3 linked regions of the Canis lupus familiaris genome follow. The protein of the gene in region 1 interacts with the protein of each later gene in a pairwise test. Links are inferred from orthologs where the notes say so. Each region holds a gene or a part of one and is shown in the gene's direction. Other genes may lie near its edges.

Region 1 (3,340 bases):
GATCACAGAATCCCAACAGTTACTCCACACAGGACCATTTCTTTTTGTAGCTCCTGCTTCTGCTGCATGGAAGCAGCTGTTACGGCTGACTGGCTTTGTTTAGTGTGCATCACAAAGGGCCACTCTCTTTCTGTACATGTGGATCTACCTGGGGACCTGGGGCGGAGAAAAGCCCCTGTTCTGGGGCAGATTCATCCTCCAACTTTAGGTAGTGTATTGAAGTAGTTGACACTGACTTCTAGGGTAGAAGTTAGGAGGTTATTTTAAGGACACGGGATATCCATGGGGTCCAACTGCTTCCCTTTGAAGTTGGCAGTCTGGCCATGCAGGCTTGGGAGGGTCAGGGTCCTTTTCTTAGGTGCCCACGGTGGCAAGGATTCTGTGGTCCCCAGGCCGCATCCAGCTGCCAGCCAGAAGTGCACACATCTAGAGGGGTTTCAGGAACTAGGTTGTTCTCCGTCAGAACCTACGACTGGTATTGTCTCTCCTCCTAGTGGCCTCCGAGGCCTTTGAAGATGATAACTGCAGCAACTTCGTGTCTGAAGATGACTCGGAAACCCAGTCTGTATCCAGCTTTAGTTCAGGGCCAACAAGCCCATCTGAGATGCCTGACCAGTTCCCTGCAGTCGTGAGGCCTGGCAGCTTGGATCTGCCCAGCCCTGTGTCTCTGTCAGAGTTTGGGATGATGTTCCCGGTATTGGGCCCTCGCAGTGAATGCAGTGGAGCCTCATCCCCCGAATGTGAGGTAGAACGAGGTGAGTGACCGCCCTCTCAGCCAGTAGTGCCTTTGCCAGATGCCTCGCTGCCTCGGGAGTCAGCTTTCCGTGCTGCTCTAGACCTTTGCCAGGTCTCGGCACTCCCGTGCTGCATCCCTGGACCCCTGCGAATGTGCATTGTGTTGACCACAGAGATGCTGGCTGCTGTTTTGGGAGGGCTCTGCTTGGCTCTGCTTCCGAACACTTCCTCAAAGTGCAGCTTGGGTTCTGTCTTCGCTAACAGCCCTCTTGACAAGCATGTGCTAGAGGTTTGTTTCCTGGCTGTTAGGGTCTGACCAATCCTCTCTAAAGATAAGGGATATATAAAATGCCTTGACCAGTAAAAGCAATGTGTAGTCATGTGATGGAGAATGCTCTGTGACAGGCGCAGTTGGACAACCCTGGGAGATTCTGGAGGGCTGAGTTGCCTTGGGCTCAGGTGGTTCTTGGAATTGTCAGTATGTACTTAATCTCCTTTACATCTCTCTAGGAGACCGGGCAGAAGGAGCAGAGAATAAAACAAGCGACAAAGCCAACAACAATCGAGGTCTCAGCAACAGCAGTGGCAGTGGCAAGAGCCAAAGCAACACCTCCCGTGAGGGCCAGGCCTTGGAGAACAGGATGAAGCAGCTCTCTCTCCAGTGCTCAAAAGGAAGAGATGGGATTATTGCTGACATAAAAATGGTGCAGATTGGCTGATCCATCTGAAGCCCTGGCCCAAGTGCATAGCAGTATTTATACACGAAGCTGTATGGAGAACATTGTGCCAATAATCATTTAATATATGCCAAATCTTAAGCGTTTACTGTAAACTGCACTAATGAAGTTGTGACCTTGAGGGCTGAAGAGTTTCCTTCTGGGAAGAGCTCTTGGGCTGGTTTTTCAGAGTGGAGGCGTTGTTGCAGTGGACTGTGACCAGGGTCACAGCCTCTGTGGAATATTACCTGTAACAGTGTTATGGAAGCAATAACTAGTTCCTGTGAAAGAACCCGAGCCAGGAAAGGGGCTGGGAAGCTGAGCCAAACCGGGGTCGACAGCTTGCTTCTTTCCCTTCTCTTATCCTCAGATTGGGAAAATGGAGATGTTCTCTCCTTTATATCCCAGGGGATCTAAATGAACGCACACAAGAATGAAACTTAATCAGAACACCCCTTTTTGACCCAGCGAAGGCTTACAAAAATTCCAAGAACACGATTCATTTTCATCACCTCTGGTATTCAGAAGGGGCTTTTTAAAAAAAGCGTATAGACTGGGATACCCATTAGAACCATTTTCTATAAAGGTTACCATGAACTGCACTTTTTTTTTGGGGGGGGGGGGAGGTGAATGCCAACGTGGGGATGGGAGGGATGGAGGGTAGCAGGGACATACCATGGGTGGTGATTTGTGGCTGTGGGGGAGAAGAGTCTATAGCATAAACCTTATCCTACCAGCCAAGGGACTTAACTCTTAAGAGAAGTGCATGTAAAGAATGGTTGCCATTGTTTATATCTAGATTTGACAAGGTGTCAATTTCTCTGTAGGTTGTGACTTTAAAAAATTATTTAAGGGTAATGCTGCATTAGTATTTCTTAGAGGGAACTGTTCTTTAAAGATAGGAAAGGGAGTAGGCATGTGTTGGCACAGGCTGTTAAATAGAAGCAATGAAGTCTGTTATGCTAATAGTATGTGTTAAGATTGCTTTTCTTTCATGTTTTCATGGTTACATATATTTAGAGCACTGTATTTTATTTGTCCTTTTGTTTAAAAAAATAGCATTTCTAAAAGAAAAGCAACCCCATTTCAAGTTGTCTGTTAATTCTGATACAACTTGTATATTTTAGTCATTTGTAAATCTCTCCATACTGTAGTGTCTTCTCCTTTTTTAACGACTGATACAGTATCCTAATTACAAGGTTATTTTGTACTTGTCTTAATTCCTTGAGTGTAATAAAAATGGCCTAAGAAAATGTTTACCTTTCTGTGTCTTCAAATAAACCCTCAATCTTCCATTCTAGGCAACCTTCTTGCCACAAGGAAGAACATGGAATGCAGTGGTCAACTGTCTTAGTTTCCACTTAAGGTCCTGCATCCTACTAATTTAAGCCCCGGTTACCAAGGTTTGAGTTAGAATTCTGCTGCTGCTACTAAAGCTGGGCAGTAAGGAGACACAGCATTAGGAAAATGAAGACAAGGTGATTATGTAGGAATGCTTCCCAACCTCTGCTGCACTGGAATCTCTGGGGAAGCTTAAAGAATACTGTTGCTCTCTGCTATTATAACTCTAGAGCCCAGTATAATTAATTTGGGGTACACTTGCATACTGAACTTTTTTTTTTTTTTAAGATTTTATTTATTTATGATAGATACAGAGGCAGAGACACAGGAGGAGGGAGAAGCAGGCTCCATGCCGGGAGCCCGACATGGGACTCGATCCCGGGACTCTAGGATCGTGCCCTGGGCCAAAGGCAGGTGCTAAACCGCTGAGCCACCCAGGGATCCCCACATACTGAACTTTTTAAGCTTCCCCAGCTGATTCTAATGTGCATCTAGTTGACATTTTTTTTCCTATCTTGGTCCAGCCAAAACTGATCTTATAGTAGAGC
Region 2 (3,754 bases), on another chromosome or scaffold:
AGAATGTGCATTATGACAGATTTTACTTGTTTTGATGGAGTTTTCCTATCTGGCGACGTATTTGTGAACAATAGGCACAAATTTATGAAACAGATGAATACTGTTCAGTTATAATCTATAACCTCAGATAACAAATGTCTCTCAATATTATGTTTCTGACCTTGTTTTATGTAGATAGTAGTCTTATTAAATAAACCTACCTATTTATTTAGCTGAGAATATTAACATCACAGTAAAATTATATTAAAATGAATTTCTAAAAGAACGATTTATCACCCGGTTTAATATTCTGCAGAGACAAATTTCTACTTGACCCACGTAAACCTTGTTCTTTCTTAAGACGGTGTCCATCTATAAGCCCTCTATCGGAATAATGCTGTTTGTCTAAACTTCCACAATGACTAGTTTACTATTAAATAGGAGTCCAGGGATCCCTGGGTGGCTCAGCGGTTTAGCGCCTGCCTTTGACCCAGGACTTGATCCTGGAGTCCTGGGATTGAATCCCTCATCAGGCTCCCTACATGGAGCCTGCTTCTCCCTCTGCTTGTGTGTGTGTGGGTGTGTGTGTTAATGAATAAATAAATAAAATCTAAAAAAAAAAATAGGAGGGAATGGAGATCACAGAGATTATCCCATGCACTGAGAAATCTTTTTTTTTTTTTTTTGATGGCATTAGAGACAGGCAGAGGAAAGAGAGAAAAAGTAGTTGCTGAAGAATGGCAACTGAAGGTAAGTGATGGAGAGTAGTGAGGTTTTTATCTTATTTTGGGAGAGAGAGAGAATTGAGGTAGGAGCATTGGAGAAGTCCAGCTGAAAAGAATTCAAAAGGAACATATTCATAATTATTTGAGTCAAACTTAAGGTGAGAAATAAAAGTACAGAGATAAAAATAGGAAAAATTATAATTTTTTATTTTTATTTATTTATTTATTTTTAATGTTTTTTAAAATTTTTTATTTATTTATCATAGTCACACAGAGAGAGAGAGAGAGGCAGAGACACAGGCAGAGGGAGAAGCAGGCTCCATGCACCGGGAGCCCGACGTGGGATTCGATCCCGGGTCTCCAGGCCAAAGGCAGGCGCCAAACCGCTGCGTCACCCAGGGATCCCGGAAAAATTATAATTTTAATAGTTAACGATTATTGATCTGTTCGCTGTTTTGCAGAGGAGAAGGTGAGACGCAGAGTGTTTCAACAGTTTGCCCAAATTGGCACAGCTAGGAAATCAGAGAGCTTGAATTCCAATCCTGGCAATCTGAACCACGGAAGCCGGGTGAGAGCGAGAAAGGAGGAAAAGCGGCCCATCCAGGGAGTGGTCAGTTCCAACTTTCAAATCGCCGCCGCCGGCCCGCCAAGGCGTCACAAAGCCCGCCCCCCAGCCGCCAAGCCACGCCCCCTTCCGTGGCTGCTCTCCCAGCTCCCAATACTTCCCTCCTTCCCCTAGGCCCCGCCCACTCCGCCAAGCATCATTTCCTGTGCGCTGGCTGCTAATTGGCCTAGCGGTCGGAAGTGAGGGCGGGCGGTGGGGCCGTTGCCGCAGTGACAGTGCTGGGGGAGTCCGAAGATGGCGGCGTCGCGTCGCTCTCAGCATCATCACCACCATCATCAACAACAGCTCCAGCCCGCCCCAGGGGCTTCGGCGCCGCCGCCACCACCTCCCCCCCCACTCAGCCCCGGCCTGGCCCCGGGGACCACCCCAGCCTCCCCAACGGCGGGCGGCCTGGCCCCCTTCGCCTCCCCGCGGCACGGCCTAGCGCTGCCGGAGGGGGATGGCAGTCGGGATCCGCCCGACAGGCCTCGATCCCCGGAGCCGGTTGACAGTACCAGCTGTTGCAGTACCACCAGCACAATCTGTACCGTCGCCGCCGCTCCCGTGGCCCCGGCGGTGTCCGCTTCATCTGCCGTGGGGGTCGCTCCCAACCCAGCCGGCGGTGGCAGTAACAATTCACCGTCGTCCTCTTCTTCCCCGACTTCTTCCTCATCTTCCTCTCCATCCTCCCCCGGATCGAGCTTGGCGGAGAGCCCCGAGGCGGCAGGAGTTAGCACCACAGCAACACTGGGGCCTGGGGCAGCGGGGCCTGGGCCAGGGGTCCCAGCAGTGAGCGGGGCCCTACGGGAACTGTTGGAGGCCTGTCGCAATGGGGACGTGTCCCGGGTCAAGAGGCTGGTGGACGCGGCAAACGTGAATGCTAAGGACATGGCCGGCCGGAAGTCTTCTCCCCTGCACTTCGCTGCAGGTCAGAGACTTTTGTTTCTTCAGGGGTTCGGTCTTGGGAATGGGGGTCCGGGTAGGGACGGAAAGCCAGCGGCGATGGAAGGGGACGGGGGCGTGGCTGTGGCTCTTCCAACGCCTGGCGGGAGGGCTCGGGGTTCCTTTCTTTAGGTTAGTGCCTGGAGGACGGGGGCGTGGTAGGGGGAAGGTGTGAATCCGTTCTTTTTGGAGCGTTCGCCTACCGCGTGGTACTTGCACTCGTCTCCAAACCCCCTTAGCGGTAGTCTCCGGGTATGGGTGTGCTTGAACTTTCCTCAGTTCCCAGTGTGAAGGAATAAAGTTAGATTTGGGCAGTCTTAAGAGTTTTGCCATTTGTTTCCTTAGTTTATTTCGTTTATTTTTATTTTTATTTATTATTTATTTATTTTTTTTTTACAACATATACAAGGGTATGTGTCCCATGAGAACAGTCTAGACCAAAAGAAGTTTGATGTACCTCAACAAGTGTTGAAGGATCTATCCTACTTTTCCGAAGCCCATGGAAGACATGAATGAAATCTGTGACACTTTTTCTCTTCCTCAAGGAGTTTACAGTCTAATTGGGTAGATTTAAAATGTGCCTGTATGAAACAACCGGAGAGGAATATTTGGATGCGTTATGTGATGGTGGAAGAAATAAAGGCTTTGAAGCCCTGGACACTCCTATTTGTTAGTTGCCTGACAGTTTACCTTATCTTGATTGCCTCAGTTTTCTTTTTTTTTTTTTTAAGTGTCCTTCTTTTTTTTTTTTTTTTTAAGATTTTATTTATTTATTCATGAGAGACACAGAGAGAGGCAGAGACACAGACAGAGGGAGAAGCAGGCTCCATGCTGGGACTCCAGGATCAGCCCTGGGCCAAAGGCAGGCGCTAAACCACTGAGCCACCCAGGGATCCCCTTGCCTCAGTTTTTTCAGTGACAAAATGATATCTAGGTTTGTGTGAGGATTTAGTGAGAAGCACCTGGCACATTGGTTCTCCCCCCCCCAAAAAAAACGCTAGTTCCTAAATCGTGGACCACACACTTTTTGTCTTTTTTTTTTTTTTTTAAGTCAAGTAGTTGACCCTTGTCTTTTAAAGCCATATAAAATGTTTTTATAAAATACAAAGAAGTATTCAAAAAAGGACTGTAATCTCACTGCCCAGATATCTACTATTATATTCCAAAAGATGAAGGTAATGTTACATACATTATAAACATTACATTAAAAATGTATGTATATATACATGATACAGTTCACATAGGATAGAAAGACAAAATGAAAAAGCACCAGGCCCACACACAAACATCAAAGATAACACGCTGAAGATACCTTCTGTTACGTTTCTTGCTGTTGCTCATACCTACCACTCTTTTAATTTGTTCTATTTATGGTAAAATATATAGTAAGAACTTATTAAGGTATTGTTTGTTTTTCCCCCCAACTTGAAAGATAATATTACCCTCATTTTACAGGTGACAAAAATGAAGCACAAACTGTTTAAGTAAGTCCTAATTGACACAG
Region 3 (3,654 bases), on another chromosome or scaffold:
ATTTTTTTAAAGTCTTTTAAACGATTTTTTTCACTATATTGGGCTACTTTTTAATATTTGTCATTCTAAATATTTAGAAGTCAAGGTAGAAATAATCATTCCATAGCTAAATTTATAGAGTAGAATTTTGTCATTACTCATTGTTCTTTTTAGAGCACTAAAAAAAGTCTCTACTGTGTTGCTTTAGTTCCTAAAATGGTGCAGTTTTATAACACTAATATATTTGGAAAATTAATGAAAGCCTTCTCCGTGCAACTTTTTAAAATGTACTTTTATATTGTCCTTTATTTTATGAATTCTAGATTGTCTGTCATCTGTGTACTAATGATGTTTTTTTCCTTTATCCCAGTGAATCTGCATGTCGGTTTTATAGTCAGCAAATGAAGGGGAAACAACTAGCAATCAAGAAAATGAACGAGATTCAAAAGAATATTGATGGTTGGGAGGGAAAAGACATTGGACAATGTTGCAATGAATTTATAATGGAAGGAACTCTTACACGTGTAGGAGCCAAACATGAGAGACACATATTTCTCTTTGATGGCTTAATGATTTGCTGTAAATCAAATCATGGGCAGCCAAGACTTCCTGGTGCTAGCAATGCAGAATATCGTCTTAAAGAAAAGTTTTTCATGAGAAAGGTACAAATTAATGACAAAGATGACACCAGTGAGTACAAGCATGCTTTTGAAATAATTTTAAAAGATGAAAATAGTGTTATATTTTCTGCCAAGTCAGCTGAAGAGAAAAACAATTGGATGGCAGCATTGATATCTTTACAGTACCGGAGTACACTGGAAAGGATGCTTGATGTGACGATGCTACAGGAAGAGAAGGAGGAGCAGATGAGGCTCCCTAGTGCCGATGTTTATAGATTTGCAGAGCCTGACTCTGAAGAGAATATAATATTTGAAGAAAACATGCAGCCCAAGGCTGGAATTCCAATTATCAAAGCAGGAACTGTTATTAAACTTATAGAGAGGCTCACGTACCATATGTACGCAGGTAAGAAATATAAAGTTGCCTGTCACTTTTATTTTCCTGCTTCCAACTGATTTTCTTTGCTGCACAGGTCATTGTGCCTAAAATAGAAAGCAAACTAACAACAAAAGATCTCTGCATTATTCCGAGTTCATTTTCCTTTGCCTAAAAATACTGCCATTTGTACCTTTTCTGCCACATTTAAATATTATTTTTAACTTTACAACCAGAATTACAAGTAAGAAAATAAAATCACTTGGCTAAATTTACCCAATTGGTGGCAGAAACAAGATAAATCATCATTAGGGTCTAAAAACCTTTACCTTTTTTTTTCTTTCTTTCTTCTCTTTCCATTACTGAGATCTTAAAGTCAGTAAAAATTTTAGTATACATTCATTACCAGAACTGTGCTGGAATATGCGCATTGCTTTTTCTTAATTTCCATTCCTAAAACTTTCATTAAAGTTTTCAATATTTTTTTTCTGTTTTACAATTGATCACATTTAAGAAAACAGTATTACCTTAGCAGGGCAGTTTTTAAGAGACAAATGCATCCAAACTACCTAGGAAGATTGGTGGAAGCCAAATCAAATGTAATGTTGGGAGAGTTTAGGAACAAACATGATTTTTTTTTTTTAAAGTAATTCTATTTCTTCTAGTAAAGTAACCCATGATAATCCAATGTTCCTCAACCTTCAACTTTCCTACACGATAGAAAGCTTGGTAATTGTACAGTGCTGTAGCCTATGGTATAGTGGAAAGAGCACCAAATCTGGATTTACACCCTCACTCTGTCACAGTTCCCTAAGGTCCCAGACCTCAGTTTTCATCCCAAAAATCAACATCCCAACAGCAACCTTAGAATGTTATTGGAAAGAACAGATCAACGACTATATGCAAAAGCTCTTTGTAAATATAAATGTAAAATTTCAAAGAATGTTTTTATTACAAAGATCTATAAACTCAAACGTATATCTTATAACATAAATGCTCTTCTGAAGTAGTTGAATGTGAATGTTAACCTCCATCCCTATACTTCTTGCTTAAATATATTCTTATTTCTAAGAGATGTGTATTTCTAAGGGAGGTGGGGGTCTTTTGGTTTGTTTTGTTTTTTCATTTTTTAAAGTCCTCTAAATGGGTTCTCAGTTCTCTCTGGAAACTGTTCTGGCACCAGTTAAACTTTTAAAGATTACCCATTAACTGATCCATTGTAATAAAGATGAATAGCATTTGATAATATTAATCTGTTTGATTTATTAAATGTCCAGTCAGAACTACTTAAATGGCCTGGAAACTATCAGGGCCTCTTTGCAAAAAAAGTAAAATCAAGTTAGAATATTTTTATCAAAAAAAAAAAAAAGAATATTTTTATCAGTGATATCAAAACACTTTCGTTAATATCATGTTTCATTATCTCCACATGTCTCTGGGATAAATAAGCCAGTTTTGTTTTGGTTTTAATTTTTATTTGGCCTCCAATTGGTAGTTCTTTTGCTAGCTAGCCTTTTCCATAGTAAAATATTAGTGTTTTCCATAGGTTATTAAAAGCAGTTTGGATTCTCTAAACAGATTCCATTTGGTAGTAGCAGGCAGTAGCTGAAACACGTTGAAGATCATGCAAGAAACCTACTCTGGGATTCCAATTTTACTACTGATTTTTCACCTAGAAACTTCTGCTATCAGTGTTTTCATTTTACTGACTCAAAAATGAAAAAAAGCACAGGAAAGTTAAATAAGCTGCCTAAGATTTTACATAAAAAAGAAACAGATTACTCTAGCATCTTTTTTTATGTTATATAAAACTTTTTGAGAGGTATAATTTTCAGTAATTAATATGACTAACCTATTTTGTGATCTTCATCAGTTTCTGTGTACTCTTTAAGATCAAAATCAACTACAAAAATGTTTCATTAAATTACTCGAAACTTGTGGTTGCAGAATACTTCTTTCTTTGATTTTTAAGAATTTTTAAGGTTGTTACACAAGTTCAAATTGTTCTTCTTGCCACATTATTCTCAGTCTTAGATGATTCACTGATTTCATTAGCATGAACATCCTAAACTGTTTTTTATTTTAAATACCTTTGCTTTGAGTTCTTAGACTGTATTAAATTAATCCTTAGATTTTTATCTACATAAGACAAAAGTTTTACTGTTTTTTTTTTCCTGTAGAGCAATGTTAAGTAGAAAGTGCTAAAGAAGACTTATTATGTCACCATAGTGGCATTTAAATTGGAAAACATTTTCAGATTCCAAATTTTTTAATATAATTGTTTCTGTAAAACTTGATTGTTGATAAAGTTTTTTTTAAAAACTGCATTTCACAGAACTAACTTATTAGTAAACAGTTGCAGAACTACAATTAAATATTTTCTGGAAACTCTGCTTTTTATTTATTTTTTGAATTGAAAACACTTTAAAACAAAACTTGAACAAGCATAGCTGAGAGTTTTTCTGTAGTCTTGATTATTTTTTCTCCTTAATGTACACAATGCTAGCCAAGTCTGTAGACATAGTACTTTTGCTGTAGTGTCTTGTGAGTTATTTTTGATTGTGGCTCTTCTTTATATTAACCTTTAGCTTTTGAATAGAGTAGTATTTTCAATGGTTTTACTTCTAGTTAGTATAAAACACTGAAATTTCTAGATCTACAGGACTTTGTAAGCCTAAG

What was found.
Region 2: the proteins of SH3BP5 (region 1) and TNKS interact in a two-hybrid assay, tested with the Homo sapiens proteins (2 studies listed by BioGRID and IntAct). The link is inferred for Canis lupus familiaris from reciprocal best matches to the Homo sapiens genes SH3BP5 and TNKS.
Region 3: the proteins of SH3BP5 (region 1) and SOS1 interact in a two-hybrid assay, tested with the Homo sapiens proteins (2 studies listed by BioGRID and IntAct). The link is inferred for Canis lupus familiaris from reciprocal best matches to the Homo sapiens genes SH3BP5 and SOS1.

The regions. Positions count from the first base shown.
Region 1 is NC_049244.1:27,844,834-27,848,173, forward strand, and holds the end of SH3BP5 (SH3 domain-binding protein 5), read left to right. Parts: intron 1-494; coding exon 495-755; intron 756-1,245; coding exon 1,246-1,454; 3' UTR 1,455-2,708; downstream 2,709-3,340. UniProt on the Homo sapiens protein: Functions as a guanine nucleotide exchange factor (GEF) with specificity for RAB11A and RAB25. Inhibits the auto- and transphosphorylation activity of BTK. Plays a negative regulatory role in BTK-related cytoplasmic signaling in B-cells.
Region 2 is NC_049237.1:35,854,871-35,858,624, reverse strand, and holds the start of TNKS (poly [ADP-ribose] polymerase tankyrase-1), read left to right. Parts: upstream 1-1,529; 5' UTR 1,530-1,563; coding exon 1,564-2,236; intron 2,237-3,754.
Region 3 is NC_049238.1:31,204,766-31,208,419, reverse strand, and holds part of SOS1 (son of sevenless homolog 1), read left to right. Parts: intron 1-349; coding exon 350-1,005; intron 1,006-3,654.